3 linked regions of the Tribolium castaneum genome follow. The protein of the gene in region 3 interacts with the protein of the main gene of each other region in a biochemical or structural test. Links are inferred from orthologs where the notes say so. Each region holds a gene or a part of one and is shown on either strand. Other genes may lie near its edges. The genes, in order: Bap60, brm and mor.

What was found.
Region 1: the proteins of mor (region 3) and Bap60 form a complex in vitro, tested with the Drosophila melanogaster proteins (2 studies listed by BioGRID, with this or other methods). The link is inferred for Tribolium castaneum from reciprocal best matches to the Drosophila melanogaster genes mor and Bap60.
Region 2: the proteins of mor (region 3) and brm form a complex in vitro, tested with the Drosophila melanogaster proteins (2 studies listed by BioGRID, with this or other methods). The link is inferred for Tribolium castaneum from reciprocal best matches to the Drosophila melanogaster genes mor and brm.

Annotation. Positions count from the first base shown.
Region 1 is NC_087395.1:25,847,690-25,858,779, forward strand, and holds Bap60 (brahma-associated protein of 60 kDa), read right to left. Parts: upstream 6,852-11,090; 5' UTR 6,635-6,851; coding exon 6,521-6,634; intron 6,474-6,520; coding exon 6,307-6,473; intron 6,219-6,306; coding exon 5,153-6,218; intron 5,104-5,152; coding exon 4,948-5,103; 3' UTR 4,867-4,947; downstream 1-4,866. Other genes in the region: Khc (kinesin heavy chain), read left to right, coding at 1-1,387, 1,486-1,643, 1,694-1,795, 3,186-3,303, 3,352-3,611, 3,677-3,894, 3,946-3,947; fibroblast growth factor receptor substrate 3, read left to right, coding at 7,298-7,923, 8,172-8,631. UniProt on the Drosophila melanogaster protein: Involved in the recruitment and site-specific anchoring of the Brahma complex at specific promoter sites.
Region 2 is NC_087400.1:7,706,041-7,716,805, forward strand, and holds the end of brm (ATP-dependent helicase brm), read right to left. Parts: intron 10,431-10,765; exon of another isoform or gene 10,332-10,430; intron 10,127-10,331; coding exon 9,986-10,126; intron 9,880-9,985; coding exon 9,046-9,879; intron 8,999-9,045; coding exon 8,794-8,998; intron 8,745-8,793; coding exon 8,624-8,744; intron 8,576-8,623; coding exon 8,336-8,575; intron 4,517-8,335; coding exon 3,929-4,516; intron 3,881-3,928; coding exon 3,692-3,880; intron 3,626-3,691; coding exon 3,295-3,625; intron 3,244-3,294; coding exon 3,013-3,243; intron 2,960-3,012; coding exon 2,454-2,959; intron 2,399-2,453; coding exon 2,272-2,398; intron 2,220-2,271; coding exon 1,920-2,219; 3' UTR 1,785-1,919; downstream 1-1,784. Other genes in the region: cAMP-dependent protein kinase catalytic subunit beta, read left to right, coding at 1,552-1,780. UniProt on the Drosophila melanogaster protein: Transcriptional regulator. Acts as a coactivator, assisting one or more dedicated transcriptional activators of ANTC and BXC homeotic gene clusters. Can counteract the repressive effect of Polycomb protein.
Region 3 is NC_087395.1:15,646,274-15,657,600, reverse strand, and holds the start of mor (SWI/SNF complex subunit SMARCC2), read right to left. Parts: upstream 5,400-11,327; 5' UTR 4,686-5,399; coding exon 4,569-4,685; intron 4,521-4,568; coding exon 4,287-4,520; intron 2,376-4,286; coding exon 1-2,375. Other genes in the region: transcription factor cwo, read left to right, coding at 8,913-8,977.

The sequences.
Region 1 (11,090 bases), about 10 Mb from region 3:
GAAATTGTATTTGGTCGATTTGGCTGGTTCGGAAAAAGTCTCCAAAACCGGGGCTGAAGGAACAGTGCTAGACGAAGCCAAAAACATTAACAAGTCACTTTCGGCCCTTGGTAACGTGATCAGTGCTTTAGCCGACGGAAACAAAACACACATACCTTACCGTGACTCTAAACTAACAAGAATCCTGCAAGAATCCTTGGGCGGAAACGCCCGAACAACAATTGTGATTTGTTGTTCTCCAGCGAGTTTCAACGAATCCGAGACGAAATCGACGCTCGATTTCGGCAAACGAGCCAAAACTGTTAAAAACGTCGTCTGTGTCAATGAGGAACTCACGGCCGAAGAATGGAAACGTCGCTACGAAAAAGAAAAGGAAAAAGTGGCGCGTCTTAAAGGCAAAGTTGAGAAACTTGAGAGCGAGTTGCAACGTTGGAGGGCTGGAGAAACGGTCAAAGCCGAGGAACAAGTCAACTTGAACGAACTAACCGAAGCTGTGACTCCTGTCTCTGGAATGGAGGAAAGCACAGTGGAGAAACAGGGACCTGTCCCGGCAACCCCAGCCCTCATGATCGGCTCAACCCTCGATGTGGAAGAACGCAGGAAACTGGAGCTGGAACGCGAGCGACTCTACCAACAACTGGACGAAAAAGACGAAGAGATCAACGAGCAAAGCCAATACGTTGAGAAACTCAAGGAGCAGATGTTGGAACAGGACGAGTTGATTGCAAGCACGCGACGCGACTACGAAGCGCTCCAAGCGGAAATGAACCGAATCCAGCAGGAGAATGAGAGTGCCAAGGAGGAGGTCAAGGAAGTCCTGCAAGCGCTTGAAGAACTGGCCGTTAACTACGACCAAAAGTCGCAAGAAGTGGACGCCAAGAACAAGGAGATGGAAACCCTGTCCGAGGAGCTGATGCAGAAGCAAGCCAGCTTGAATACCACGACCACCGAATTGCAGCAATTGCGGGACATGTCGAGTCATCAAAAGAAGCGAATCGCCGAGATGTTGAGCAATTTGCTGAAGGAGTTGGGCGAGATTGGGTCGACTTTGGGGAGTGACGGGTCCGAGATTAAGATCTCCAATGATGCGGCTAAGCTGGAGGAGGAGTTTACGGTTGCACGTTTGTATATTTCGCGGATGAAGAGTGAAGTTACGAATTTGACGCAGCGATTGCACGAAATTGAAAACAAGGAACAGGATAGTAACAAGAAGGTCACGGAGTATGAGAAGGAGTTGGGGGAGTGTAGGTTGTTGATTTCGCAACACGAGGCCAGGATGAAGAGTCTACAAGAGTCGATGCGCGAAGCTGAGAACAAGAAGCGGATGCTGGAGGAGAGTGTTGATGCCTTGAGGGAGGAGTGTGCGAAGTTGAAGGCCGCTGAACAAGTAAGTTTTTTAATTCGAGAGAGAAATACAATTCAAAACATCTCGAAATTAAAAGAAAAAAAGAGTGTTTACAGGTTGCTAGATTAACGTTTTTGCAGGTTTCGAGCGCCAGCGAGAGCGAGAAGAAGGAAGCGAACGAGCTGCGATTGGCTCTCGAGCAGCAAATGGACCAATTACGTGTCGCTCATCAGAAGCAAGTGGCGGCGTTACGCGACGAAATCGCCGAAAAGCAGCAATTGATCAACGATATCAAAGAGTGTGTTACGTCATGTGTTTTTTGTTTTGTTTTGATTTGTTTTTTCACAGTTCGAACCAGAAGTTGTCGCTCGCCCAGCAACAGTTGCAGTCTGAATACGAGAAAGTCAAGTCGGAAGAAGCCGAAAAGTCGCAGAAATTGCAGGAGCTCATGTCAGTAAAGTGTAAACGCTCATTCCCGTGTTCCCCCAAATCCGCCACAAAACTCTTACCTCATCCTTCAAGTCCCGATTGGGAGAAATTTTTGCCTTATGTCGATCCAGTGCCTAAACATGCAAAAGACGCGTTGAATAGTTTCACAAAATTGGCGAAAAATCAATGCTCGATGTCGATTTTTCACATACATACGTTCCATTTGCATTTGTTTATTTCCCTAACTTTGTTATTGGTCACACATAGGTGTCCACAATATCTAGTCGTTGTCTAAATCTAGTCGCGGGCGATTTTATTATATTGTGATAATTTGGTGCATTTCGATTTGAAACTAATCCATTCCTTTGAAAAGTGATTTTTCCTGTGATTTATTTTGAAAAATATTGCGTAGTATTATTTTTTATTTTTTTAAACATTTTTTGGCATAGTCACATCACGCCACTGTTTGGTTTTGAGTTTTATTTTATAGTTGATACACGTGTGACTAACTAGTCAGTGGTTACGAAACAAAACAGCACAGTATTTTGTATTTTTGCTTTGTGATGAGGCCATTTAACTAAAAGGAGCCGCGGAAAGCCCGATTTAATAAAAACAAAAATGCTGATACAGCCAGTGACTACGTATATCTTGCTATTGCCAAGTTATACTGTCGCAAAATGGCAAATTTTTAATTATTACTTATTTTTCTTTTGTTGAATTTATCTAAAGTCTATAGAAGGTGGATCAAGGTGAGTCTGTTCAAAAACAAATAAAAAAAATATATTTCATATCAAAAACTGATTAGTTTTTGAAATATAGCAAACGATGAAGAAATGTTTTAAATTTAAACTTAAACTGAGAAAAACCACAAAAAAATTCTGGAAACTTGATTGAATATAAAAATAAAATCAAAATTTGGAACATTAGATAAAACAAAATCAGGGCATTATTTAGTGCAAGATTTTATTCAAGTTTTTCGAGTTTTGTAACATTTTTTTTATTATTAAATCGCGGCTTGTTACCGGTTTTGCATATCACTGTATAAAAACGAATCAAAAATTAAAAAAAACGACAATAGCGAGCTCAAACTTTGGATCTAAGTGGTCTTGTAGTATTGTTGTATGATAATAATAATGTAAATAAGAGAGTGTTAGCAATAGTGTATAAAAAATCGTTGCATATTTTAAAGGCAATTATTTTTGAATTTCTCGTAGTTGAAATTGTTGACTATTTCTAAACCTAGACGACCTGTCTGTGTTATGTGTTTGTATTGTTTTCGTTTTGGTTTTTGTCGAGTAGTAAGCGTAATATTTTTGGTTGTCGTGTGACGACACAAATAAAACCTGACCAAACAAATCCGTGAGCGTGGTGTGGCTTGAATGCTGAAACGCTGATGGATAATATTCTGCAGTACCACGAACGAACGACGCGAACAAGCACGGAAAGACCTCCGAGGATTGGAAGACACCGTCGCCAAGGAGTTGCAAACCCTTCACAATCTCCGAAAATTATTCGTCCAGGACTTACAGGTGGGTACGAGCGACGTAGCGACGAGTGGTGAAACAATGCTGTTGTAGGCACGGATGAAGAAAAATCTCTCGGCTGAAGATAACGAAGAAGACGGCGGTTCGTTGGCCCAGAAACAGAAAATCTCGTTTTTGGAGAATAATTTGGACCAGTTGACCAAAGTGCATAAGCAACTTGTGAGAGATAATGCCGATTTGAGGTGCGAGTTGCCCAAGCTGGAGAAGAGGCTAAGGGCGACCATGGAGAGGGTGAAGGCGCTGGAGACGGCGCTCAAGGAGGCCAAGGAGGGCGCCATGAGGGATCGCAAAAGGTTGGCGCTCACATTTTTCTCAATTACGGCAAAATCGCCAATAAATGTTTTGTTTTTTTTTTCAGATATCAATACGAGGTGGACCGGATCAAGGAAGCCGTCCGCCAAAAGAACCTCGCTCGTCGCGGCCCTGCTGCAACAATTGCCAAGCCTATCAGGTCTGGCCAACATCATGTTGTTGTTGGTGGCGGCGCTGCGATCCGTACTGGGTCTAACATGGGCCAGAAAAACATGGAAATTGCGCGAAAACGCGAATCACTTATCATAAACGAGAAAGACGCATGTGAGTCTTGATTTAATTTTTTTCTCTAATTTCCTGAATTTTTCCTTCCAGAAACGGTGCTCTGATCACTGGGATACCAAAAATATTGCTGACTACTCGTACTACGTAAGCCGTGGAACAACACACGACTTACATTTTTGTGCTTACTTGCTTAGTTATCCTAGAATTAAGGTGCACTTATTGAGACGACAAATTGTTTCTTAGGTCGGTTTTTAGTGCAATTGCTAAGAAATAATTTGTGGGTTTTCCTGTCGCATGTCGCGCGCTATTATAATCATGGTGGTGTAATAACGATTCAAATTTTCCAGGCTTAAATCGTGTTTTGTAATATAAAAGTGGCATTATTTTAGGATTTTAGTTGTCTCTCCTCTTGATCAAATGGTCTAACTAGCACGTTTAGGTAATTAAGTAGCACATTTTACACAACTGGATTATTTGTATAGCCTGATTGATGTATTTTGTATAAATTTGTTTACGATTGATTGATTGCTTGTAGTGGTCTAAGTATATATTTTTTTAAAACGATTTTATTTTGTTGTTTTTCTCAATGGTGCAGGTCGGACGGTTGGCTTGACGGGCGCAAGTGCTAATCGCTCCGATGCAATCTAATTTCATTGTGATAAGTAGCAAAGTTTTGTTCTTCCGTCAAAGACCCGATTGGTGCACAATTGCATTTCTAATTTATTTGTTTTTGTTGACTGTAGATAATTGTTTAGTAACAGTCTTTGGTACAGCTGTCGTAGTTGTGTAACGAAACTGATAGTGGATGCTTGAGTCAATAATGCAATTTATTTATTTAAATGATGGAAATTATATTCTAATAAACTAATACAAATTTCCTGTTTGTTTCCCTCATTGTTGCCGAAAATTTTTCACCCTTATAGGAAAAAAATCACTGAATTTTTGAGGAAAAATTCTCCAGCCTTAGTGAGTTTGTTTTTGGTTATTTGGAGACATTTTAAGGAAAGTGACTTGAGTTAAAAATGCAGTTTATTTATTAAATGCTGGAAATTATATTCAAATAAACTAATACATATCTCGTGCTGGTTTCGCTCAATTGTTGCGAATGCCGAGTGCTTGCTCCAGTTCGGCCCTTTTTTGCTGCACCTTGGTGTAGAAATAGCGACACACGGCTTCTTGCGCCCACGGTTGGTAGAAAAAGTCGGACCTCCGCTCCTCTTCAGGATTGCCCACCACATCGGTCATACACTAGAACAAACGTGCGGAAAATGCCACTTTTCCACCCTAATACACTCACTTTCCATACCTTCAAATCCCTGGTTTGTGACACGATCCACTTGTAAATAAACTGTTGCGGATCTTTGGCAAAACTCAAGAAAAACTCACGATTTGTTTTCAATTGATTAATCGTATCGACAGTTTCGTGAATTTTCGCATCCAAACCTTGGATCTCCTGCTGACTAGCTGTGCTCAACAGGAAATTATTCATCTGAGTTTTGAGCGTATCGTCCACCTCCACGTCAATATCGTAGCAGGCGGTTTGCTTGCTTTCGGCCCCGCCCTCCACCGAGATCACGTGATTGATGACGATAGGGTCCGGTGGGTGGAGCAACGGGTTTAAACGTTGGGGGATTTCCGCAAATTTCATCCGAGGACACCCGAAGATCTGCTCGAGATATTTATCACACACGATGTATTCGCGTTCGTGGGCGTCTTGCAATCGGTGCGTTTTTATATACTGCCATAGGGCGGAGATGATAACGGGGCGTGTCTGCGTGTGCACGCCCAATAAACGGGCCAATCGCGGGTCGAGTTTGAATTGTAGCGGTTGGTAGTCGAGTAACAAAAGAATAGTGCACCGCACATTCTTATCCCCAGGTCTCTTGACCTGGAAACCGTCTGTTTCTTGAGTTGTTAAGGTACGGTGCCATTCCACCAAGTGGTTATCAGGACCGTACAACTCCTTATCGAGCTCAATCACCAACGATTTGAAAAATGACGAAAATTTGCGTTTGACTTTATTGGGGTCACTTTTCGAGTCGTCTAAAAGGCGGCCCTCGACTCGCAACTCCCAAGAGGCCACGGAGCCCTCTTGTCCAGGGCCGTCTGGGCCCTCGGCGCACGCCTCTTTGGCTGGATAAAACGTGTTAGAGATGAAAATCCTCAATTTGCGTTTTTGTTTCATTGGACGTTTTAACGCCTCTTGAATATCCAACCGTTTTCTCATTATGGTCGAGTCTAATTTACGCTCAAACGCGAGTAAATCCATGTAGGCCTGGCTTTCGGGCACCAAATCTCTGACTTTTTGGGGCAAAATCTTGTCGGAAAGCTTCTTCTTTTTCTTGGTTCCATGTGGGTAATCACTGCCAACAGCGTAAACGATTTTTTCGAACAAATACAAATATTTGAAATAAATAAAAATAACAATTCTGTATACTCCCAATTGCTTACCTCTTTTGCTGCATGACGGCCCTGTTGTCCGGGGGCCGTTTAACGCCCGGCTGGGGCGGCATGGGCCCCCCTCGCATGGGCGAATAGGGGGCTTGAGGGGGCCGCGGCATCATAGCGCCCGGCTGGGCCCCCATGTTCGGGGGCGGGGTGTTGTACCCTGTCCGTTGCTATAGTGCGAATTAGAAATAATTGGGTGGAAAATGGGGAAACTCACCGGAAAATTCTGGGCTGGGTACTGGCGCATTCCCGGATTTTGGGGCGGGTAACGCTGGGGTGGGGGCCCCCCGGGACCTTGGGGCGGCACGGGGCCCGCGAAACGCTGGGCCATGGCCTTTTATCACTTCTTAAGCACAAAAAACACACAGATGCGTCCCCAGTTGCCCAGTTTCGGTCTTGTGTGTTTGGTGGGTTTGGTGACGAAGGTGTGCGTGGACGAAATTGTTAATTTGATAAGGAATTATCAATAGTAAATGTGTGATTAAGAACGGTTTTGCGACCTTTGGGTTTATTGAATCAAAGTTTGGGAAAAAAATACGAAAAAGGTGTGAATTCACTATTAGGTTTTGTGAACATTGTGAGATTGTGACCAGTTGAGCTACTAGTAGGGGTACCAACACCGTTGTTTTTCCGTATTTTGTTTAAAAATTTTCAGAAAGGTTGTTGGGTTGTTTACGCGTGTTGTTGTGGGTGTTTTGGGGCCCGTGGGGTTGTTGCCGGTGGTCAAATGAATTTATTTTCGCATTTTTTGTGTTTGGTTGCCGGCCTGGTGACAGAAGAACCATGATGGCGTCGCTGTTTATTATGTGAGAACTTCACATAAAAATTGGTTAAAAAACCCCGAAAAACTCACAACAAAATGTAAAAACAGTAATTTTTGGTCAGAATGCCTGAAAAGCCACGTGTCCATGCAATCAAGCTTTGAGCCAAACCTAGTAAGTGCCCCCAACCAAATAACCTTGATGTTTATTTACCCCTTACTCCTAGGTAGAAAATGGGTTGTGTTAGCAGCAAGCCCGACATAAACGATCAACACCCGAACATTTTCGACGTATCCAACGTCAACGACCAAGGCGACTTGGTGAGCCCCGGCAAGCTCGAAGTCCGGGAAACTGAACTAGTCCTACACCAAAGAGGCAAAAACCCCACAGTGTGGCCCCTCAGGTCGCTGCGCAAGTACGGCTTCGACTCGGAAATTTTCAGTTTCGAGTGCGGTCGCAGGTGCCCCACTGGCCAAGGCATTTATGCGTTTAGGTGCCGCAAGGCTGAGCAACTTTTCAATATCGTCCAACATCACATTGTACGTAATTCCGACGAGAACCCCCTTATTAACGCCATTTCGGACTTTCCGGCCGTTTCCACGGGGCCCCCTGTGCAGCGACGCGCCCCGTCCCAGCCCGAGGGCTATCTCAATCCGGTGGGGGCCCCCAGGCCGAGTCTGAGCCGCCCTGGGTCCATCACCAGCAACGGCCCGGTGAGCCCCACGACGGCCGAGTCGACGCACGAACACAATAATAATAAGAGGGGCAGTTTGGGGGACCACCAGTACACCAATTCCAGTGTTATTACTGAGTTGGAGGCTCCCAATTATGCCAACTTAGGCGCCGCAGCCCCCGAGGGGTAAGTTGCTAAAGTCCCAGATTTATTTCATTTAGGGCGCTTTTACCGATTTTTTTTACACATTTTTGTCAGTTAGATTGAAATTTTGCTAAATAAACAGCTTTGCCAACTGTGCCACTTTTATATTTTTTTTCTTCGGTGAATAATTTATAATTTTCTGCCTTTAAATAATAATAAGTTGGTGATAAATTAAAAATTTTAATTTGGCAGTTTTGATTTAAATAAAAATAAAGTCACTGGGTATTTAGATGTGGGGAGGAGCTGCGCCCCCTTGTGGAGAGTCCGTGCCACCTGTACATGAATGTGGACACCGTTGGAACCAAAGACTCGGATCCTTCCGAGGACAACGCAAGACATTGCTACGCCAATATAGACACCAAAGATTTAGAACATTTAAGGCCGCTTTTGTCGGGGGCGGAGGCGCCAAGTGTGCCCCAAACGCCCACCGCGCTCTATTTGACTGTCCACGAAGTGAATTACGCTGAGCTGGACTTGGATCCGGTGAAAAGCGACGTTTCTACCTCTCAAGTGACGCCAGAAAGCCCCCACAAAGCGAAAAGTTACGCTACGATTGATTTTCAAAAAACTAACGCTCTCTCGCAATCGATAAATCCGCCAATGGAGGTCGAAGAAGGCAGCAGAAAGACTAGGCATAATTCTACAATTAGTGATGTTACGACTAGACATAGCAACTCGCTAAGTGACTAACACATCGAATTGTAAAATTTTGTGATTCTCATTGAGTTTTTTTTTGTTTGATGAGGTGACCAGTACGAAAATTTTGTTTTTTTAGTAGAGTAGTTGGAAAACATCGATTTTTTGGAATGGGTCATCTCGTTAAGTACTTGTGATTATCTACCAAAATGTTAAACTTGCCACCTTTTTTTTGTAAGGATACAAATTTACAAATGCCAAAGATATTTGATAGTTGTTAATGGTTTTAAGTAATGGAAATGAAAAATGACGTATTATTTTACTATATTATACATTGCGCAAAAAGTAATTAATTATAGAACAGTTGAATATATTATATTTAATTTTTAATAAACGATATTTTACAAATTACGAGTTTTATTCACCGCATTACTCATCTCGTTTAAGCCAATTGACCTTTGCTCTCACTTGGATTAATCTAATTTGGTCCAACTGACTGTCATAGAAATTTAGCGCCAAAAATATTACAGATTCCTGTAGTTTAGCAAAATTTTGGGATTAAAATCAACAAACTCAAGGTAAGTGAGTGTGTAATTGCGATTTCGCTTTAAAAACCTTCTTACCCGAATATCTGTAGCCCCAATTTCCGATAATTATTGGTAGAAAACTGGGGATTCCTAAATTCTAAAGTATGGGGTTGGCACTATTGTCAAATTTTACGTATTGGACGCTTCGTGTTCAATGACCGTGTAATCTTTATTTTTTTGCCGTTTTCTTTACAAAAATGAGTGTTTTCGTTGTTAATTTTCCAAAAACATTAACAATAATTGTGATTGAAAGTGACTGTAAGAACATTTCTCCTGGAACTACCCTGATCCCTGGAACTACCTTTTGGACGCTAAGGACTTCAGGTAGGACAAAAAATGGCATGGATTTGGTTTAAACGCCTTATTTTGCAAAAACATTGGTTGTTTTACCATTTGTGATAGTTGAGATCTCTTTAAAAAAATTAAATTTTTTTCTCGCGAAAGAACCTCTGCTGTCAATCGCATGGTGTATTTCTGGTTGCCTACACTCAAGACATTAAACAATTTAAACATTTGTATGTGTTTAAAGGCATTAATTTTACGAAAAATTGGTTTTTGCTAACATTTTTTAAGGTTGAGTATTTTTCTGCTGCAATTAATCTACAATTACAATTTTGTATTTTGTTATGCTGGCTGCCTATGATTTCCCAAATTTAATTTTTTTATGGTTTAAACTCATATGGCACGATTTTTAGTATTATGGCTGTTAAGAATTTGGCAGAATATTATACGGTTTAATTTTTGACGAAAAAAATAAAGAAGTACATTGTGTATTTTTGGTTGCCTGCCTCATTTAAAAGTAAAAAATTAAATTTGCCAACTCTGTATGTATCTATGTTTACTTGTGTGACACTGTTATTTGTTGTTAAAATTAAAAAAAAACTATTAGAATTAAAATTGATCTCGAAATTTTGGTTGTGCCTAATTGCGTCCAATTAGCTTAATTAGAAATTGCGGTTTGAGTGCATTTTTTGCGCTGGTGTTAATCACCTTGTGGCAAGACATTACACTGCACCTTTGGTATTTATCTTATTAGAAATTTCTAATAGCGTTTGCAAAAACGCAGCTTCAGGTTCTAATTTATATCCCTGGCAATTATTATTAATCCGCGTATGTTTTGCAGTCATGAAATAGCAACGTAAAAACGTCTATGCAAATGATTTGTAAGGTGAACTGCAATGTTGAATGGATCATATCCGGGCGCTGATTGGCCGCCCGGCGACAGGTTGCTGGCGTCTGATTGGTTGGTGGTTTATTTGGGCCCCGCCTGCTTTGTACCTTCCTATCGGCAGGTGCAAAGTTACGTTGTTAGGTGCGCTGTTGCAAAATCGCTCATTCATGTTTTGATTTGTTGCAGAAAAGTGATAAAATATCATTTTAAATGTCACTCCAGTTATGATGATGGTAATTATGAGTTTGCGGTTTTTGCTAGATTCTATGAAATAATTACGACACAAATAACTTGAGCAGAAATCACATAATAATAGCAACCTTCGGTTCGCGGAAAAATGCGCAATGGAGTCATAAAATCCCACTGCATTTCCTGTGCGAAAATGTCATGATTGGTCTTTGAGCAACGGTTATTATCACGCTAGCGTGGAGTTTTATGTTAATTTATTCCAGAAGTGTTTGGTTCTTGGAGATTTCAATGCCACTGGATTTAATTAATTTGATTTGTTTTAACTGTAATTTTGCTAGACTTTGTTACCGCTTGATTGTGGTTTAAAGTCGATTTTTGAGAACCAGTTGGTGATTTCAACGATGGGTCGAAGTACACTCTTCTATCGAAAAAGTTAATTTCTGGCTGTTAATTGGTAATTACTTTTAATTAATTCGTTGCTACATAAGTACAGACTTTGTTTTAAATTATTTCCAAAGAAAATCTTTTAAATGTGTTCTAGAATCGATGATTTCAATGCTTGATTA
Region 2 (10,765 bases), on a different chromosome or scaffold from region 3:
TTGTAACAATTGTAACCATAGTAATTATACAAGGAATAACTTATCCGGAGTTTATCTGACAATTGTAAAATCCACCCTAGATGAAAATTGTTTATACAGGCCTTATTCGGAATTGAAGCTTGTTTAATGTGATAAAAAAAGATTCGTTTACAATATACCCAAATATTATGGCACCGCCTTAGAGTGCTTAGAATTAACACTGGTAAGATTAGGACCCCATGATTCATCCCAAACTTGTCTACCTACCGATTTTGCATTAGTTTTTTTGATTCCAGTAAATATTCATCTCTTTGAGGAAATTTGAAAATGAAACACCTATTTCAGGAGTAAATAACGTAAATTAAGTAAACAGTAAAGACAACACTATCTCAATTTTTATGATAATTTTTATATAGTTTAAAAAATTATACAGTAGTTTGTCATACTTTAAACAATTAACAACTATGTGTATATTTGAATTTAATGGTTTTTAATATGAAGCAAATAAGCGAAGAACAGTAGGTAAAATAGAAAGTCCCTTGTGGATTCCCCAAATGATTGCTACCTCCTGAAGTGGTCATAAACTATTAAATTTGGATTATATTTTCAAAGAAAATTCATCGCTTTTGGGAACGACAATAACCAGTACTTCCGAGGTATTTCTTATTCATTTCGTGACTAATTTCGAGATCAACTTGACATTTGTCAATGCATTTTAAATGGCAACTTAATGTGGAATTAGTTTAATTCTAAATTAAACTTTAATTTCGCTATCTGTAAACCGACCGTTAATATTAAAAAGAATAATAATTTCATTATTTAAACTTTTACAATTAATTTTATTATTTATTATTACATTGTTTTTATAATAAACGGTTTTTATCAAATACACCCTCGACTTGTTAGTTTTTTACTCGAAACACCCTGCTTTGTCATGTGCAAGAGCATTTCCATTTTATATTCATCTTCTTTTGTTTGTTTGAAATTAAAGCAATGACTTACTCTCAAAAACCGATTTAATCGCAATGAATTTTTAATTTACGATTAATTTAATTCTGAATAACCTGAACTCATTTCTTGAAAAAAAATTCATCAACTCTTAACTTCTACGTCTATTAATAAATAAATTAATAAATGGTTGTATTTTGTAAACTGTTGACTTTGGACAAAAACCCAGAATCAAGCCAACTGTTGTTTTTAATGTTTTTAACTGTATATTCTATGAGACTCTCCAACTAAAAAAATTATTATTTTATTTCTTTCGCTAAACAATTCAAGTGCGGTAGTCAATATTTTGAACGAAATATTTATCAATTTTCACAACCCTCCAGCTTCCACACACCCACACCCAGTGTCGGAAAACCGACAACTGCTCTCAATACTATCGGGTCGACCCGACTCTCACTCGCTTGGCTCTCAAGTCTGTGTCATTACTTCTCGTACAACCTGTACATTATATCTACCTTACAATGTTTAGGTTTAATATTAAAACTTGACTTAAAGTTATACTACCGCAGGTATAATGTAAAAACTATTTTTAAATTGAGAAAAAGGCACTCGTCCATTTCCTAGGTATGGGATTTTGAAAAACGGGAGCAAGGACGTGAAAGGGCACGAGTGGTTCAAAAGCGTGGACTTCGACCAGATTTTGCGTCGCAGAGTCAAACCCTCGTTCAAACCCAAAGTTCGAGACGCAGGTGACACTAGCAACTTCGACTATTACGACGAGGAGCCATTCAGGACCAGCTCCAAGGAGGAGTTTGCTGAGGAGTTTGCAGAAATAAAAATACCAACAAAATAAAGAGTTCTTTTCAAATTGTGTATTAGTGTTACGATAGACCACATACCTACAACCTATACTTACATCTCTTCAAAAATAAATACAAAAATCAAAGTATTACACTTATATAGATGTTTCTACCTTAACTAAATCAAATACTTCAATCATCGTCATCGTCGTCGTCATCCGAGACGTATCTCTTCGCGGCGCGTTTGCGCCGACCACTGGTCTTCTTGTTCTTCAGTTTGATCTTCATTTTCACCGATTCGCTGTCTGATTTATCCTCGTCTTTATCATCGTCCGAGTCAGGAACTCCCGACTCAATCCGTTGCTTCGCATTTGTGAAAACCGACTGAAGAACGATGCTGTCTTCATGGATAAGGGACGCTTCTTCGTTGTAGATTTGGGCGTTTTGACACAAAAGCATAAAGTCGCGTTCGAGGTCATTGAAATCGTTATACTACAAAAATTGGCTCAGTTATACGACACTGACGATTTTAACTATAACTCACTTTGCTGTCCTCAATTCGGCCCAAAATCTTATTAATATCCATCGGTTTTTTAATAATTTCGTAATAGTCCGGATAGTCTTTCCGCGGTGGTAATTTCATGAACGGTTCGCTCAAAAGCCGGCCGTCACTACACAAAAAACACGTAGAAAAATATTGTATGCAACTCGTGTGTTCGTTCTTACCTGTCTGTGTATCTCGTTACGATGTTCATTAATTTTCTCATTTGGCGTTTCAACTTCAAGTCGGCGCTCGATTGCCCCCTCCTCCTTTTACTCGTACCAACCTCACTATCCGAATCGTCTCCTCTCTTCCTCCTCTTGCGCCCGCGTTTCTTTTTGACTTTTTCTTCTTCATCGTCTTCATCATCGTAATCTCCGCCTTCGTCAATCGCTTTGAGCCACTCTTTCTCCGTCAGACTGTCAGTGTAGTCAACTTCCTTCCTCTGTCTGGTGCCCCGCCCCAAAGCCGACTCCGTTTCGTCATAATTCCAAGGATCAACCTCATCGTCATCCTTCACCAACCAATCCGGAAGCTCACTTATTTCCATCATGCGGGGCTTCCGGTTGGGCCCCAGCTTCGCCTCCTCGCGTCTTCGCTCCAGGTCCATTTTCTGGAACAGCTCGAACTCGGCCTCCGAACGCGCCACCATCTGGTTGACGGTTTCGTCGTCAGGGACCTCGTTTTCCTCCTAAAAAACATAATGATAAGAGGAAGCTCTTCTCCAGCGTTTGAAGAGTTTACTTCTTCCTCATCGCCGTCTTGATGCAAAATACTTTGCAGGAACTGCTGCCGCTCCGATCCTGTACTCTTCTGATCGAACATCCCTGCCTGGATGACCTTCTCGTCCATGTTTAACTTATACCGAGCGGCGGCTAAAATCCGCTCTTCAACCGAATTGACAGTCATCAGGCGCAAAACGCGCACTTCGTTTTGTTGGCCAATACGATGGGCGCGATCCTGGGCTTGCAAATCCTAAAATCGCCAATTAACAAACGAGTGGTAAAATCGCATCAAATCCATTACTTGATGTGGATTCCAATCCGAATCGAAAATAATGACCGTATCGGCACTTTGCAAATTCAAACCTAAACCACCGGCTCTTGTCGACAACAAAAACAAGAAATAATCACTGTTTTTGGCGTTGAATTTCTTCAAAAGGTCGCCACGATCCTCAGCTTTGGTGGTGCCATCTAGACGCAAATAACCGAAACCACGCCAGGATAAGTAGTCCTCCATAATGGTCATAAGCTGGGTCATTTGACAGAAAAGTAGGACTCGGTGACCGGTCACTTTCAACTTGGGGAGGATTCGGTCCAGAAGTTCGAACTTTCCGGACGCTCGGTATAAGTCAGGCCTATAACCACCAAAAAAAAAAAAAAAAAAATCGTATGTCAATCGGAGTGAAGCTTTCGAAACTAACCCCGAAATGACTCCTCCCGAAATGCCCACGTGGTCACAATACTTCTCCTCGATATTTTGGAACATAAAGGGATGATTACACAACTTTCTCAACTGTACGATCGTATTCATTAGGGCCTTGGCGCCCCCTTTACCCTTATTACCCTTTTCGGAACCGTCAGTCAACAAGACACCCTTACTTTGCATGTGCCTAGAACCCAAAAATTGTTCACCCAACCCCAAAAACACACCAACTCACTTGTAGAGAACTTTCTGCAACCCTGACATATCACACTTGATTATATACTCAACTTTGTCAGGCAACTGCGACTCGACCTCTTTTTTTAACCGCCTGAGTAAAAACGGTCGCAAGACTTTATGCAAACGCCGAATAATCAAAATCGTTTCTTCTTCATTCAATTCGACTTTTTCGCCGGTTGTGGCAAAGGGTGCGTTGAACCATTGCTCGAAAGTCGAGCAACTTTTGAAAATCGAGGGGAGGAGGAAATTGAGAAGGGCCCACAATTCGGGAAGTTTATTTTGGAGAGGGGTGCCGGTGAGGAGAAGGCGATGAGGGGCTAAATAATGCGTGTTTAGGACTTGGGTCAGTTTGCAATGATGGTTTTTCATTCGGTGACCTTCATCGATTATCATGTATTTCCATGGGAGTTTTGCTAAAACTCCCTTATCTTTGATTACGTATTCGTAGGTGGTGAGAAGGACGTTGAATTTGGTCGAACGCATTTGGCTCTGGATTGTTCGACGGCCTGCCGGGGAGCCCTTATAGGACACGACCTGCACTGAGGGGGACCATTTCTCGAACTCAAGGACCCAGTTGGATAAAGTTCTGGTAAAATTAAAGGACGATACTAGTTAGTGTGGGTTTAATTTTATGGCAATAAAAATTGTGGTCGAAATTAAATGAGCCATTAAAAAAATAGAATACCACGACAAAAGAAGCAATTATTGCTAATTAAGTATTTAAATTGGTAAAACTTGTTTGATTTTCCAGAAAAAGCATTTTACCTAATTATTTTTGACTATCATACCATTCCAAGTTTATAAAAGATTGTTTTTTTAATTTAAGATCTGCGTAAACCACGATATTATTGTTTACTTGTGTTTTTTTAATCATTTATTTTTTTAAATTATTTATATTACTATTATTATTATTTATATTTATGCAAAATTTTAGGTTGTTCCGAAACACGATCTATCCCAAACAGCGATAATGAAAATATCAAACATTAATATCTTTGTTCTTGTGTGTGATAGGAGATTGGTTATCGAATAGTGTTGATTTAAGAGTCAATATAGTGATAATTGATTATAATAACTGCTAATTATTTATTAAAATAAATATTGTAAATATCATTATCGCTACGGAGAGTACGGGTGTATTCAAAATTTCAGCTTATCTCGGAAAATATAAAACAAACAGAACAAAGGAAGTTAAATATTAGTACTGTAACAGAAGCTAAGCAAAGCTTCATTCAAAGCGCTTATACTCAGAATAATATATCCAATTTTTTCCAAATGTATAAAATGATAATATAAAAACATAATTAAGTAGATCAGTGGTTCCCAACCTTTTTCACCTTGCGAACCCCTTCTAACATCCGACAGAATTTGGCAAACCCCTTGTACTGCTTTAAGACAATAAAATTTGATAGGACATATATTTTCTTTGTTGCACATTTTGAACTGAATGAATGTTAATGAATATAAATTTAAAAAAAAACGAATAATGTAATACCAATTTTTTATATTTTTTATTTTAAAATTGGGAACAGATTACAGTAAATGCTTTTGCAAGAGGAGTTCTTTAAACAGACATGTTAAATAGTTTTATCGTTGGCTCCATAACCAATTCATTCGGAGCAATTTTAGTAAAAGAAGTTGGGTCCAGTATTTGATTTATTTAAAAAAATGTCATTAATGTTAGCAAAAAATCCTATATAAAAATATATATACGAAAACACAGAAATAAGGTGAAATTACGTATTAGATAACAGTTTTTGATGCAAATGTGAAGACAAAAAGTGCTTACTTAACACTGCAATTTCCTAAGTAACGAAAATGCAAAATAATCATGTGAGACAAATGAATAAAAAAAGTACCAATTTTATTTTAAACCAAGTCTAAAGAAGACCTTAGAATTTGCTCTAACTTCAAACTTCAAACCCAATTAAGTTCAAATAAATTACTGAAAACTGACAATCAATTTTCATAACATATAATTATTGTTCCCTTCGACAAATAAGTTTTTTTTGCAGTAAAAGCGTCCTTTTTCGTTAAACTTTTTGTACGAAAAGCTGATTTTTGTCCATAATATTATAATACAATATTATGTCTGTTCCTATTAATAATAACAATTGAGTTCTGTTTTCATAAGCACAAATTGGTAATAACTGTTCTCAGGTGTTCGATAAAAATGCGTTCAACAAACAGAAATCTATCTCGAATCCGTAAAAGTCTAATTTTTGATGAATCTTGAATCATGAAAATGAAAACAATTAATCAAAAAAAAAATGGGGCAAAAACACAGAGACAATGAGATGATGCCAATTTTGTCTGTTAGATTTATTTAAATTTATTATTTTGAATTTTTTTACTTTATCCATTTTATAAAATTCCGCCATTATTATGCTTCTTTGGACGAACCCCCTTTATACACGCGAACCACCGGTTGGGAAACACTAAATAGATCTTTTAAGACAACATTACATTTGTGTTAAAAATCGCAATTTCTGTTCGCAAACAGCGATTCTGAAATTTTCAGACGTTAATATCATTGTTCTTGTGGGCGGTAGGAAACTGGTTTTCCGTTCATCTGTAGAATTTTTTCTGCTCTATCGAATGGTGTTTGTTTCATCTCGATATTTCAATTAAGAGCCGAAATATTGATAATTATTTATAACTAAATTTGAACACAAATACATTTTAAACTCGACAAACCTATTTTTTATTATTATACAGTGTGCTCAAAAACTGGCGCACCAACTCAATGGTGTGTGGTAGAGCAGTGGTTACATATAATAGTAAAAATAGTAAAAAAATTCTTTGTATTAAAGTTATTGATAAATAGCTAATTTTAGGTAAATGATATGTGGCAACGTTGTCTAACAGTCATGATCGCAATAGAATTCGGAAATAAAATTAACTAGACGCCCTCTGGTGATGACTTTTGAACTATGTCGAAAACAGTAAAGAAATTTTCGTAATGCCACATTTAACTGACATTTAATGAATTGTTCAACAATTTTGCGTGTATAGTGTTAATTACTTACAATAGAAAGAATTACTTTAAAAGTACGTGGTGGTAAATCCTAACGTTGACTTTGGTTCTGTAGTTTTTCGTGGTATAAAGTGTTTATTGTTGGAACTTGAAAGTGGATAAAAAGTGAAAAATATTTAAATTTTGATTACAAAGTGTTATCAAACAGTTGTCTAATTAAAGATTATAAGTAATGGATCACAGCGAACACAAAGTGTTATGAATTTTAGGTTAGAATTTTCCACTGAAAAAATCATGAAATGCTGCGGTAAATCTACAAAACTACAATAAAGATTAACAACTGCTGATATATTTAAACGTAAATTATGCCAAAAGGTAGGCTTTTCAATGTCTTTGTAATAATTTTCCAATAAAGAAAGTGAACCAAACAGTCATTCGTTATTCGTGTTTTCCTCGTCATCTCTCATTTGTCAACATAAGTTTCTTGCATCAAAGATGCAATAATTATTCCGCATAGGCAATGCAATAATTGTGAAGCCCCAAAATTCGTACAACGCTCAAAATATCCGAATAAACATTTTCCCGCCATTTATGGTTACTGTTTTCGACCTAGCTCAGTGGCGTCCCCAACGGTAATTTTACTTCCGAATTTGAGCAACAATAAAAATAAATTATTTTTGAAACGGTTTCCTAGGAAACAATTCCCAGTGTTGGCACATCTACACATTGTGATTTTTTTTAAATTAAAAAAACTGATAAAATGTGATAGTAAATTTAAGAATAATTATTCATCGTTTTGTTACGGAACGATTACCTGGTATGAAACATAGAAATATAAAAAAATAATGAAAACTAAAGAAGTTAACACAATAAGTTTGTAACTCCAGATTTTTTAAAATATGACATTAGGAATTTTTTCAACATTTTTCCCGTAATCTGCACTTGCTTCTCAATAACGTACCACTGAGTTGGTGGGCCAGTTTTTGAGCACCCTGTATTATTATTGTACTTGTACAGCAATAAAAGTTTGGTGTGTCGGGTTTAACTCTCTTTATATTCATCACTCCCATACCAATAAAACAAGTAACAAGTGAACTAAATTATATTGTCACGGAAATTACGTATGTATGCAAAATTTCAGTATGTTCGGATAACCGGTACATATATTTGATTCGCAAGCAGAGACAACTCAGCAAGTTAAATAAAAGCGTTTAAAAACCTTTCGAAGGCTATTCCTTCCTGGAGTTATTAAAATGACTGGTCTAAAGACCAACCACTTTGTTTAATTGTACCGAAAACTGTTACATCTCCAGGAGACTAAATTATTATCTCAAAAACAAGAAACCACGTATCAATTTAATTTAAAATATCAAATAGAAGGTTCTTAAAACTGCGAAACTAAAAAATGTGAGCAAAAATATAACTTACGACAGTGGTACTATGATGAGATAAGGCCCGTTGACCTTCTTCTTCTCCATTAGATAAGTGATCAGAGCAATAGTTTGAATGGTTTTACCCAACCCCATCTCATCGGCCAAAATCCCGTTCAAATTGTTGTTATACAGTGACACCAACCACTCCAAACCTTTAGTTTGGTACTCCTTCAACTTACCATTGACCATAATGGAAGCTTGTTCCGTTACAATTTCATGGACAGTGTGAGCAATACTAAAATTATGGATTATACATACCGGAAATTTTTAGGACGGGACCTACCTGTAATAAGTCTGCTCTTCGTTAGCATTCTTATGGTACTCATCATCCTCAACTTTAGCTTTATTAATAAGTTCTTTCGCTTTATCTTCTTCGGATCGATTCTCATCTTCTCTTCTTTTAACTGGAAGAAGTTTATTTTCAAACGTGACAATACCTTTCACTTAACTCACTTTCTTCCTCATCTTCTGAATCCTCATCGTCCGAATCCATAGCCTCCCAGCCTGGATGTTGCAACAACCACTCTTGCAACTGACTCAGCATTGGTGCATCCTCTCCTGATAGTTTTTTCCCAGTTGCGGTTTCAACCACAGTAACCGGTCGATCAGGACCTTGGGAACCATCAGCCAAGAGACCTTCGGCTCGTTTCTTCTTCTTCTGGAATCGGTTAAGTCAAAGCGTACGAGTGGGGTACACATAATTACCTTTTTCCTTTTCTCCTCCTCCTGTTGTTTGCGTTTTTGCTCCAGTTTGTGTTGTTTGACCATTTCGGTCAAGTTGGCGATATACTCATCGGTTTGCGACAAGAGGAAGGCCAACCGTTTGTCTTTCTTCTGATCAATCAATTTCCTGTAACCTTCTTCGTCCTCGGCCATAAGTCGCCTCATACGTTCTTTCTCAATACGTTCTTGTTCCTTCTTCTGTTCGCGTTCGGCATTCGCGTGGTAATTCATAACGGCCTTGTTTAACCTCGCCAACTTGGCCTGATTATTGCGATGGAACTCTTTAAAGTCTTTACCGTGTTGAAGGACGCTAGTAAGGAACTCTTGATGTTTTTGCCTTCTCTTCCGTTCAGCTTCCAATTTTTGTTGTTTCTCCAACTTTTCAGTAGCCCTAGCTTCGCGTAAACCTTGTCTTTTAGTCCTTTTGTACGCCTTAATATTAACAGCAGTTTCCAAAGTTGTATCACGTCTCGTACACGCAATTATCTCATTCCGTAACTGTCTTTGGAAATTCAAACATCGCAAAGCCCTCAGCTCGATCTGAGCTTGAATTCGTAACTCCTCGGACATATTCGTGGGTAAATTACTCAACTGTTCCATTCGGGCTGCGATTCGCGACACTAAGCGATTTTCCCTCTCCTGTAGCAAAACCACCGGATCTATACCAACAGGTTTTGGTACGGTGGTTACGCGGTTTTGTTTGGTTGAGGTTTGTTGGTTTCCGGTTTGGTTCGGTTGGTTTGGTCCTCCGGGCCGGATACCGGTGGCGTTCTGTTGGGTCGTAGGTGGCCCAGGTTTGACGCCTTGTAGCTGAGGCTAAAGTAAATTTCAATCACTTACTAGCTACGCTCGTAATTGTATTATTGCCATTGCTCGAATGCTATGCTTTTTACAGTGTTGGTAATTTGTGATGTAGTTTTACCTGTTGTTGGACAGGTCCGGGAGGGCCGGAAGCGGGTCCCGTTTGGGATCCGGGCGGTCCCGGAGGTCGCATCGCTTGTTGTGAAGCAGCGCCACTTTCCGGTGGAAGTGGTTCGTTAGCTTCGCTAGCGGGTGGACCACCCTATAAATTCGGTAATTTTGTTTTTCTCTTTTAATTATTGTCTAAACACATGCATTGCACTACTACTATCTACTGATACACTACTTTTTTCCCGATTAAAATGCTAATTCGTCGAGTTTTAATAGCTCAAATTGGGTTTTTATCGGTTGAAAGTTGTGTTTTTATCGTTTTTTTTTATTATTTAGGTTTAACTTTCTACAAAACATACTTTGCATGCTAGTTTTACTAAATACTACTACAAAACAGCACGAGCAAGCACAAATTCAGCACAGCATAGAAGGAAAGGCAATAATAGTGAAACAGGGTGAGCAAAAATTAAACAAATTTTTATCTAATATCTAAGGTACAGTCACCCAAAGTGAAAATGACGCGTCCATAAACAAACGTCACCAAGTATTTTTGAGTCAGGTACTTACTTTATTTTACAAGATGTGATCAAAAAACGCCTAAAAACCATAAAATAAATCCAAATTAGTGGAGTAACAGAACACGCCTCAAAATTACAAAAAAAAACAAATTTGATGTTACTTTGCGTGTTTCACTTAATTTAATTTATTTTTGAGTGAACTTTCGTCACAAATAATCTGAAAAATCACAGAATTCGGTCGACAACTTAGACGTTTTTAATATTACACGTTT
Region 3 (11,327 bases):
ATCGCCCACTGGCCCTGATCCGCTTGCAGCCTCTGATGCGCCTGCTGGCGGGCCCTAAACTCGGCCGCTTTCAACTGTTCTAAATGAAACTGTTGCCGTTCCGTGATCAACTGTTGCCTCTGATACTCCAAACCCTCGCGTTCGCGCTCCATCGTCGTCTCCAACTCCTCAAAGTGCCTCAACTTAATCTCCAACTTCTTCATTTGCGTTTCGACCAACAACGCAACCAGCGACTTGATCTTGCGCTCCTCAACCGCCGCCAGATGCTTGGCTTTGACGGCGGCGGCAGCCAGAGCCGCCGCCGCCGCGCTCTGCATCTCGCTGTCTTTCACAGTCCGTTCGGGCTTCCGCTCCGGTTCCTCCGGCTTTTCGGTCTTGACGGGTTCGCTTGGTGTTTCGCTCTTGACCGGCTTGTCCTCCTTCTCTTCTTTTTCCGGCTCGGGTTTCTTTTCTTCGCTTTTCTCTTCTTCTTTATTCTCGGGTTCTTTCTTGATTTTCTCTTCTTCTTCCTTCTCGGGTGCGGTTCCGGCGATTCCGGTCATGGCCAAGTTCGCAGCTGGGTCGTATTTGCCTTCGGTCGAGCTCGCTTCCACGTTTTTCAAATGCGCGTCCATCACGGCAGCTGGGACTTCGTCCTTGATGTTGGCGAATTCGATCATTGCTGACTTGGCGGCGGCCGCAGCCACGCGCGGGTCGACAATGGAGGCGAGGAACGCAACAGTTGACATGATGGGGTTTCCGGCTTTGCTGAACGGGATTGGCTGGTAGGCCAGAGGGCCTAAGGCGCCCCCAGCGTCTGGGTCTTCCAGATACGGGTCTTCAATCGGCAAACGCAGGAAGTGCAAAATGCACTCGTCTTGTGTCCTTGAGCCGACGTGTTCGCAAACTTTATTCCAATCGTCTTTATACATTTCTAAACCTTCCAATAGTAGAAGTGTCTCTTGTTCGGTCCAGTCTCGAGTCAAGGACGCTGCGCTTTTGTTTCTCAAGGCGGCCGGTTTCTTGGCATATTGGTCCAACTTCAGGCCGAAATTATTCATTTGTTCGCTGCCGTCCCCTTTTTTGATGTCCTGAGAGCGGTCTAGGTCTAGTAAGGTTTTTGCCGCGCTTGGTTGTTGGGTTTTTGGGGGGTTTACCGGTTGGAGGCCCGACGGTGTGTCTGATAGAATATGGAAATGGGACGTGGGTGGTGGTCCCATGGGTGTGGGTCTCGAGTCAGTGTCGACTTGATAGTTGATCAAACCCCATTGTTCGAGGAACGCATGGACGCGCATAATGGCACAAACATCGCCGGCTAGATTTCGACGGCAGGCCGTACTTGTGATATATTCAGTCGGGTTTAATCGGTACGTATCGATCATGAAGTTGCGGTAGGCGAGGTAAATTTCGGGCGTTTTCGATTTATTCCGCCCATTGAAAAACTCAGCAAGGGCTCGTTTTTCCACTTCGTGTATCGCGTTATAGTCAAACCATGCCGAATACGATGGTATGATAATATGGTGGGTTTGTTCAGTAACATTATCCTCCTGCCCATCATCCTGGGTATTACTATCACTGTTTTTACCATTTTGCGAATCTTCGCCTCGCTCTTCGTTTTCCTCAAGATCGGTGACTGAGCCACCCTTCAAGGGCTGCAATTCGTGGTCTTTCTTACTGTTCTGATTGGCCATCGACGAGTTAACCTCGACAATGTTCGGTTCGGGCGTCGGTTCCTCCATATCTTTCGTCAAATCTTCAGTTTCCATGTCCTCAGGTCTCTGCTTCTTGCCGATGGCGGGGCTTCGGCCACTTTTGCGCTTCCCGCCTTTGGACGGTGGCGAAGGCGAGCGTTTCCGCTTCTGTTTCTTCTTCGACCTGTCGTCGTTCGACGGGTTCATAACATCCTCGACGGACATCCGCAACGGATGAATCTTCTTCTGGCCCAATTCGTTCACTTCGTAGTCTTCTTCGGACATCCACTCGTTGTAATGGTCGGTTTCCAGCAACCAAGAACACGAGACTCGCCACGCTTCCGTCCTGGGACTCGGCACGTCGTTGCTTAAACCCTCGCCGGAAATGTCTAAATTGATCCAACCGTCGTACGAATTCGGGAAGTAGTACCAATGCATCATAACCATCTTGTCGCGTTTGAAGACCGGACGGCCGTATTCCTCCTCCACCGGGTCCACAGGGGGGTAGCAAATGTGCGTGGCCATTTCTTCAGTTTCCGCCACTTGAGCCATTTTGCGGCACACGATTTCGCGTAATTTGGCGGCGAGATTCTTGTCGATTTCGGGCCGGATGTAGACAGACGGAACGGTGTAGAAGCGGTTCTGGACCAAGACCTTCTCCATGCACTTCAACATCTCGAACACGCGCTCCAGCTTGCCCGTGCTCTGTTATCAAAAAACAAATAAAATGTTCCATTACCATCTAAGTTTTCAGAGCAATGAATTTGAAAAAATGATTTATTTGTGTAACGGTTAGCATAATAGAAACAAAAAAAATACAGGCAGATAGAGCATTAAATTCTAATTAGTTTGCTCAGGAACAAATAATTAATTAGTAAATGGGGCTCCGAGTCGTTTTACGTGTAGATCACTTTTTCGTAATTTTTGGCAAACTGGAAAAATTAAAACATCCAAAACTACGAATTATAAAACAAACGTGAGGACAGATACGGAATCCTCAGTCAATTTTACGTAAGAGAGGCATATTTTTGACCTATATTTTTGATTATTGTGACCTTGATTATTTTTTTATTGGCAGATAAGTAAATCAAAATTTTGATTAAGTTGTTTTATTCGATTTATATTCAGAATTTTGACCCGATTGTTACTAAATTTTGTGCAAGAATAGGTAATTAATTAGTAAAGAGGGCTACAAGTCGTTTTTAAAAGTAGATTTATTTTATTTGTTTTTATTTTTGGTAGACTGGAAAAATGGAAATCCGCCGTATATCGTCTAAAATATCTTCAAAACTACGAATCGTAGAACAAAAATGAGGAAAAATTTGGAATCCTCAGACAATTTTACGTTAGATGGTCATATTTTTGACCGATATTTTTGGTTATTGTGATCTTGATGATTTTTTTATTTGCAGAAAAGTAAATCAAAATTTTGACCAAGTTGTTTTGTTCGGATTATTTTCAGAATTTTCATTAGATTTTCACTAAATTTTGTGCAGGACTAGATAGTTGATTAGTAAAGAGGGCTACAAGTCATTTTTACGAGTAGTTTTAATTCTTTTTATTTTATTTTTTGTAGATTGGAAACATAGAAATCGACCGGATATCATCTAAAATATCTTCCAAACCACGAATCATAGAACAAAAATGAGGAGAGATTCGGAATCCTCAGACAATTTTAGATTAGATAGATTTTTTTTTATTTTTGGTAGCTTGTAAAAATGGAAATCGACCGTATATTGTCTAATATCTCCAAAACTACCAATCATAGAACAAAAATCAGGAGAGACTGGGAATCCTCAGACAATTTTACGTCAGCTAGACGTAATTTTTACCTGTATTTTTGGTTATTGTGATCTTGATGATTTTTTTATTGCCAGATAAGTAAATAAAAAATTTCACCAACTTGTTTTATTCAAATTATTTGCACAATTTTGAATCTATTGTTACTAAATTTTGCACAGGAATAGGTAATTAATTAGCAAAGAGGGTTACAAGTCGTTTTTACGACCAGATCTAGTATTTCTATTTTTTTATTTTTGGTAACTAAAAAAATGGAAATCACCATACATCAGTTAATATCTCCGAAACTACGAATCGTAAAACAAAAATCAGAACAGATTTATCAGAACAGACATATTTATGACCTATATTTTTGGTTATTGCGATCTTAGTATTTTTTTATTGACAGATAAGTAAATTAAAATTTTAACCAAGTTATTTTATCCGGATTAATTGCACAATTTTGACTGGATTGTTACAAAATTTTCCTCAAAAACAGATAATTCATTAGTAAAGAGGGCTACAAGTCGTTGTTACGAATAGATCTATTTCTACTTTTTTAAATTTTTGCTAACTAGAAAAATGGAAATCATCTAATATCTCCAAAACTACAAATCGTAGAAGAAAAATGAGGACAGATTTGGAATCCTTCGACAATTTTACGTTAGACAGACATATTTATGACCGATATTTTTGGTCATAAGATGATCAATTAGCAAAATAGGGTTACAAATTTAGCTGAGTTTCAAACCAAAATTTGTAGGTTCCACCGTACAGAAAAAGAAATAATTATGGAAAATACTATTTTACGCCAAAGTTTTAAGACAGGATACTCACTTTGCCTGTTGGTATCTCAAACCGGCGCCAATTGTGCTCGCTCTTGAACTTGTACGCCGCCAACAGCATGTGGCACAAGGCGCCCCCGGGCTTAAAATCCATAAAATACCGCACCGGGATGCGGATCATGGGCGGCTTTTGCACATTTTTGCCCAAAAAGTCCTCCTGGAATTGCATCAATTGCAAAACCAACATGGAGAGACTCTTATTAGTGACAGGTTCGGCTTGAAAATACTGAAACAACCACAATGATGGGGGCACTCACAGCGCTCAGAACCTCACCTTTTTGCCATTCTTCTGCAGCCACTGCCTCACAAGCTCGAGGGCCGCGAGGGTTTCCGGCGATTCGAAGTATTTCACGTTAGGACCGCCGTCCTTTTTGGGGCCGTAGCCCATCATTTTGCCCACAGAAGAATAATTCCCGACTTACGAAACTACCGTATTACTGAGACTTAACTAAATTGTACATTACTTTGGTAAACTTTACAGAAATATACAAATAAATAGCGTAAATTTAGCGAAATAAACCGACGCTTGAATATCACAATAATGTCAATTGTCAAAATGCGAAGTATGGGCAACCAGTAATACGTTATCCGGGGCGGGAAATTTGAATTTCGAGCGTGAGCGTGTTTGCAACACGTGCCCACGCTTCACGGGCCGATGCACGTTCACTGTCATGGACTGGAAACGTTCACATGTAGGGAAATAACAGATCAAAACAACTTATGTAAGCCGAAACGTGTGAAATGAGCGGTCGTGAATTTTCCTGGCGTTACCTAACAGCTCACGTGAAACGTGACCGCAGCTGAGGCATTTCCGAAAAAAATCGGGTCTTCGCGTTGTCTGAAGCTCGACGGGCTTATGCTGGGCCTCAAACGGGGGCGAAACTGCCAGTTTTGGGGCTCGGGTACCTCGCCCCCGTGGCCAAAAGTTTCGCTCTGATAGGTGTAATAGGTAGGGATCACGTGGGTCTCCACGTTACTTTGAACGTGATCTCTGGTTTGGCTCATGTGCAAACAAACAAACAATCCCCGCGTTACGTTCCGGTGCACGAATGAGCTCGCAGCAGTGGCGTGCACTGAAATTTTTTGGCAAGGAAAAAAAAACAGTTACAAAAACTTACCTCTTTGTGATCTAATTCAATTCTCCTCCCTTTTTCCTAATTCCGTTATCACGACATGTTTATACACAATATTGAAGTAATGAAGCACCAAAAATGAGAACATACTAGCTTACTAGCATAGGATATACAAACCAAATTTTTGCTTCTATTAACGTCACTTGGGTAAAAGTTACAAATTAACAAAGCTGACGCCTATACTAGGTATTCGGTTCAGAAAAAAGCTTAAAAATAAAAACGAGCGCTTAGAGTATTATTATTAGACCGCCTCGTCTCTAGATTGTTTTAAATTATAATTAAAACTTACGTAACTGTGAATAGTTCATTCATGGATGGAGAAAGCGCAGAAACGTTGAGAAGCCATTTTTTTTTATAAGCTAACATCAGAAAAAAATCATATTTATAGTTTTACAGAATAGTTTTGCTGAAATTGGTAAATGATTTTATAATTAATATAGTTTATAATATTTTTTTTACATTAGCTTTATTTTTTTTTATTATATTTTACCATTCCCCTATCTGGCGTTAACTTTCTTGTGTGTCCTGTGTTGACTGATATTTAAGTTCGCGACTTTATTAGAAAAATTTTCCTAGTTTTTAGGTCTAGCTCAACTAAAAAAAAAAAACACTAAAAAAGCCTAAATTCCTTGTCAAAATACCTTTCATTTGAGGTATTTCGAATTGTGAAGGTGTTGTTTTTAATTTTTTAATACAAAAGAGGTAGGTGCTACAAATTTCGAAAGGACACTAACAGGTGTCCCCTGTAAATAAAAATTGACCTGTTTTCGGATTTACTAGTTTTTTTGTTTGTTTTCTAACATCCAGGGTGATTCGTTAAAAAAACAATCAGTTAAAAAAAGGATCATTTTTTATCACTTTTCATAATATTTTTTCTTCATGAAATAGAGCATCTTGTTTGAAATATTGTCAGTAGAGTTCAGTTCTAACAGAGATTTTTCTTTTACAAAAAAATCAAGCGTTTAGAAGTTATTTCACCCCAAAATAAAATGTTTTCAAAAATTGGATCACAAAAATTATTTATTATTTATTATAATACAGAGCCGGCTCTACGGACCGTGAAATATATGGACGGAGAGGCAAAAAGGATCCACAAAAAAAAAACTTTAGGTGGTCAATAAGAAAAGGGCTAAAAATTTAATACAATCCATTTTGAAAATGGTAACTTTAACTGAGATTTTATTGCAAATGGGTCTATAAACGCTAAAAAGTACACCCTATTCTATTAAATACAAAGATTTTTGAAATTTTTTTTAAGGTTTGGCGTTTAATTGATTTTATTTTATCAAAATTTTGCAAAATATTATTAGCATTTTTGGACAAACAAGCTGTTCAAATATAAAGCCGAGTCAAAATTTTTGATACAGTTATGTGATTTTTCAAACCTCGGTGATACAGTTATCGGAATAATTGCGTTCCTGGAAAAAAAACCGTGTTATATAACGTAGAAATGGTAAAATTGTATCATTTTCGATTTAATTTATTCATTTTTCAGCCAGATTTAGCAAAATTCTGATTAAAAATATTTTTATTTTTTATTAGTGATGAAAAGCTCTTTTTTTGAAGTAGGTAATTTTGAGATTTTTCAGCTAATTTTTCGCGAAAATTTGGTAAACAACGTTTCTGACTCAAAATTTAGCACATTTTGAGTCAGAAACGTTGTTTACAAACAAAATAAATGTAGTACTTACTTACTTTTCGGATCAAATTTAGCGGATTTTTGTGAAAAAGGCAAAACAATTAAACATTACTTTGACTTTTACGCTTATTATAAACAAAATTATTCAAAATAATCGCGTTTCTGAATAAAAAACGTGCTAAAACGGTCGAAAAATGAAAAAATATTGAAAATCTTTACTTATTAGTTTAGTACCTAATTATTCGTTCTATTTTTATAAATTCTCGCAGAAAAAAAAAAAATAAAAACCAAAAAATAACACTATTCTCGAAACGATTCGGTGATTTTTTAGAGTATTTTTGATTAAATTTGGCGAGGTTTTTATAACTGATTTTTAATTTTTGATTTGACATTCTGCCTTAAGCCATTTCAACAATAATGCAACCTAACACCGAAATTTTCAAAATACTTTGTGTAAAATTCCTTTCGAAATACCTACACGATTCGGTTTATATTGAATGTATTTTGCGACAAAACAGTTTTTTTGTTGTAGATTTAAATTAGGAAAAGATAATCATTTAAATTGATTATATTACTTTTTTATCTTCGTAAATTTTGCTGTCCCGTCCGTTATTGCAAACATATTATTGTTGCTTTTATTTCTTATGTTGTGAAACAAGACCAATAATTTTTTATTACTACTGTATAATTTTGAGATTGTTAAAGTCTTTAATAATTAAAACCAGTCGAATGAATTTTTTAGAGTCCTACCCGTCATGTGTAAATAAAAATTGCTTTACTCTTCGATTTCGTGATTTCAAAAGTTTCAAGAAGTTCCACCTTTTATTTAAAAAATAATTGTTGGAATTAATTTTATAACAATTTTTCAACGATGAAAATGTGAGTTTTTTTTGTGTCCCGTCCGTCATGAATTTCTCTTTCCTGCTCGAATGGTTGTTTTCCGATCAAATTTAGTAACCTTTCAGATGATTTTTGAGAAAAAGGCAAAATTTCGATTTATTATGAACAAAACTATTCAAATTTAAAGTTTCTGGTTAAAGCACGTGCTAAAATTGTCGAAAAAGGAAAAAAAAGATTGAAAATATTTACTTATTAGTTTAGTAATTGTTTGTTCCCTTTCAACAAAATCTCGCAGAAAAAAATAAAAACTCAAAGCAACACCATTTTCGATACAATTCGACGATTTTTCAACGTTTTTAATTTCTAGCTAAACAGTGTTGTAAAACATTAATTAATAAACACCAAATATTTCTCATTCTCCATTCACAAATTTTCGGCAAAAAACTGAGTCTGGCTTTTTTAACTGCTCGAAAAAGTGAAAATAATGCAATTCTCGGTCCAAGAACAGAAGAACGTTAGAATTTAAAAGTAGAGCCGGTAAAATATGATATGCACCCAGCCGTCGAAAGGACCTAGTGCGGTCCTGGTGGTGATAAAATGTCCCGGACTTTAATTGAACATAATTTTTAAAAAATTGTGTAGTGTAAATATTTCGAGTTGGTTTCTCGTATTTTCCACCCAAGTCCTGCGTCAGTCCGCACGCCCCTGCGTCGCAGTCTTCTCCCGGAGTATTCCGGCGAAAATCCGCGCTTATCGTCGAAAATCCGGCGAGCGCCAGTATGTGTTCGCCGTCACGTAGAGTCGGAGGCAGCGCACCGATTTTTCCTTGTCTTGGATTAAATCCTCCGCTCACGTGTACTCTAGCGTGTTCGTCGGTCGGTATCAGTGGCCGAGGAGTAGATGAAAGTGAAGCGCCTTTGCGATCGCCGCCTGCGACGACACCTGTCTCAAATCTCCACCGAATTTCCGGAAAAGTGCTATGTGCTGCTGAACCGTCCCCAGGAAAATGGACATGACGCAGGCTTACTGGGAGGAAAACTCGGCCAACATTCAAAGGGTCAAGTACGAAGGGTGAGTTCTCGCCGAACGACGCAAATTCGCAATCAAACCAGTTTGTGCAAGTCCATTCAATTATCGCACACATCCAAGGGGGCACCGGACCCCACGCCGCACACTCGACGCAATATTATTTATGCAGGAAGTCGGCGTATTTTCGGACGCGCACGTGATAGCAATTAACACATCGGCCAAAAAATAAACACCCCTTCGGACAGGGCCGGATTACGCGCTGCAAGGCCTAATCAAATTTCAGCTTAGCCAGCGCACGTGGACTACAATCAACACTTTTTACCTTTGTTGCAACAGACGACTCTATTACCTCATTAAGAAAATTGGTAGCTCAATTAATTCAATTGCTACGGACGGATGACCCACATTTTTGCGCCATATGGTCCGTTTTTTCGAAAATTATTCGCGCCAACACCAATCACAGACACACCTTATCGGTGGCATTAGTCCAAACAGAAGCAATAAAATAAATAATCACTCCCATTATATAAGAAATTGAAACAACGTGCACAACATTTAAAAGGAAATTGTTGGCATGTTTAGTCTCTCTCGTAATTGCAGTTCCATGATCAAAAATTTTTGCGAGAGATTCGCGACAGGTGCTTAAATGTGCCAGTAATTCGATGCCTAAAGATAAATATTTGTTCCATTTTTAGCCCCGTTTTCGCTGACATGATAGTCCAAATACCAGAACAGTCTTCAAGTTCTAGGCTATTAGCCGCGCTGATTGCGTTTATTGCCCAAATCTGCGATAAGGCTGGATTTTTGCATTTGCCGGGTGAAAGTGGCGCTGTGACGTAACCGTGCGAGATTTTCGTACGGCTGATCGCAGTCACGTTTTCGTGCCGAATTTCCGCGGAAATGCGCACTCGCGCCGGTTTTTTCCCGATATCGGAGAGAATTTCACAATATCGTCCATTTCGGGTCATAAAAATCGAAGATGCGTCAACGGCGCTCGTGGAAATTTTATCGTTTGACGTTGGGTCACGTGAGCATCACGAGATGTCAAACGATCAATAAATAAGCGCTTTTTTATCGTTGATTGACATCTATTATCGTTAACGAATCACGTGGTGGCGATTTCGGCGTAGGAAAGTCCCCCGGACAGCCTTGGGCGGCCTTGAAGGACAACGACTCGGGTTTTCAGGATTCGCGATTTTTTTCGAATTGATTCGGGAACGTGTCGGCATTTTAATTTTGGTTCGAGTTCATGGCAAGGTCACACCTACGTTTTTCACTCACGTCGCGTAAATATAAACAAGACGAACCGGAATTTCCTATTTGTTTGAATACGAATTTTTCGCGGCGGCGCCATGGAAGGAGTGCATCGCAAATGTGCATTTTTTAAACTGTAAAGCAATATTTACGTAACTAAAAGCCTTGCATTGGAATTAATTGCGTGAGGGGCATTCAAATCGCGGCTATTTCTGTACGTATTTTGTTGGGTTTGCACAAATAACGCACGCAAGTTTGACAGCAATTTTTTTATCGGGTTGATAGTTTGTAAATATTTTTCCTGGTTAATTACTTGAAAATTGGCGGCGATAATAACTAATAAGTAATAAGTTACACCAGCGGGACTCGATCGCACTGAGTTCGTTTCTATTTGTCCACTTCGTAATAATTCTTTACTTTAGTTAATTGCTAGAGTTTGCAATGTTTTTATTTTTTTATATTTAAAAAAAAAATCTCAACATACTTTCGTTAGATACACAAATTTTAAATTAAAGACAAAATCTCCCTCTGAATTCTATTTGTAAAAAACAAAAATTTGAAACAAAAAAAAAAGAAATACTTGTACGACCGGTCTACAGGAAGCGAAATTGAAATTTTATTCAATATTTAACTAATTCAAATCAAGTTGTCATTTATTTTGCACTGACAAATGATAAGTCAGTTGCGAATTAAATTAAAATCAAACTTGGGAATGTTTATACTGCCTTAGTGTTACGTTCGTAGTATTCTTAAAATATTGAATATCATGTAATTTTTTGTTTTATTCTTTGGGAAGAAAAAAATAAATAACCGAAAAGTTCTGCACAGAAGGGCATTTATGAAGAGAATTTTTGTAAAATATTCACTATGAAGGATTAATTTTATGTTTAAATGTTGGAGGATTCTGATGATGGCCCAACTGCATAGATGAAATAATTGAATGAAAAATAAGAACTTCGCACGTTTAATTAGTTTGCCTACTTTATTAAAGAGATTATTAAACTAGAGTTTACTGCTTATTGAACATATTCAACTCGCCTTGACAATAAAAGGATTTTAGCGAATAAATCTTATCTTAAAATATATCTTCGTTAGTTTAGAGCAGTCTTTACCAGTGATAACAAAATAATAAATTTAA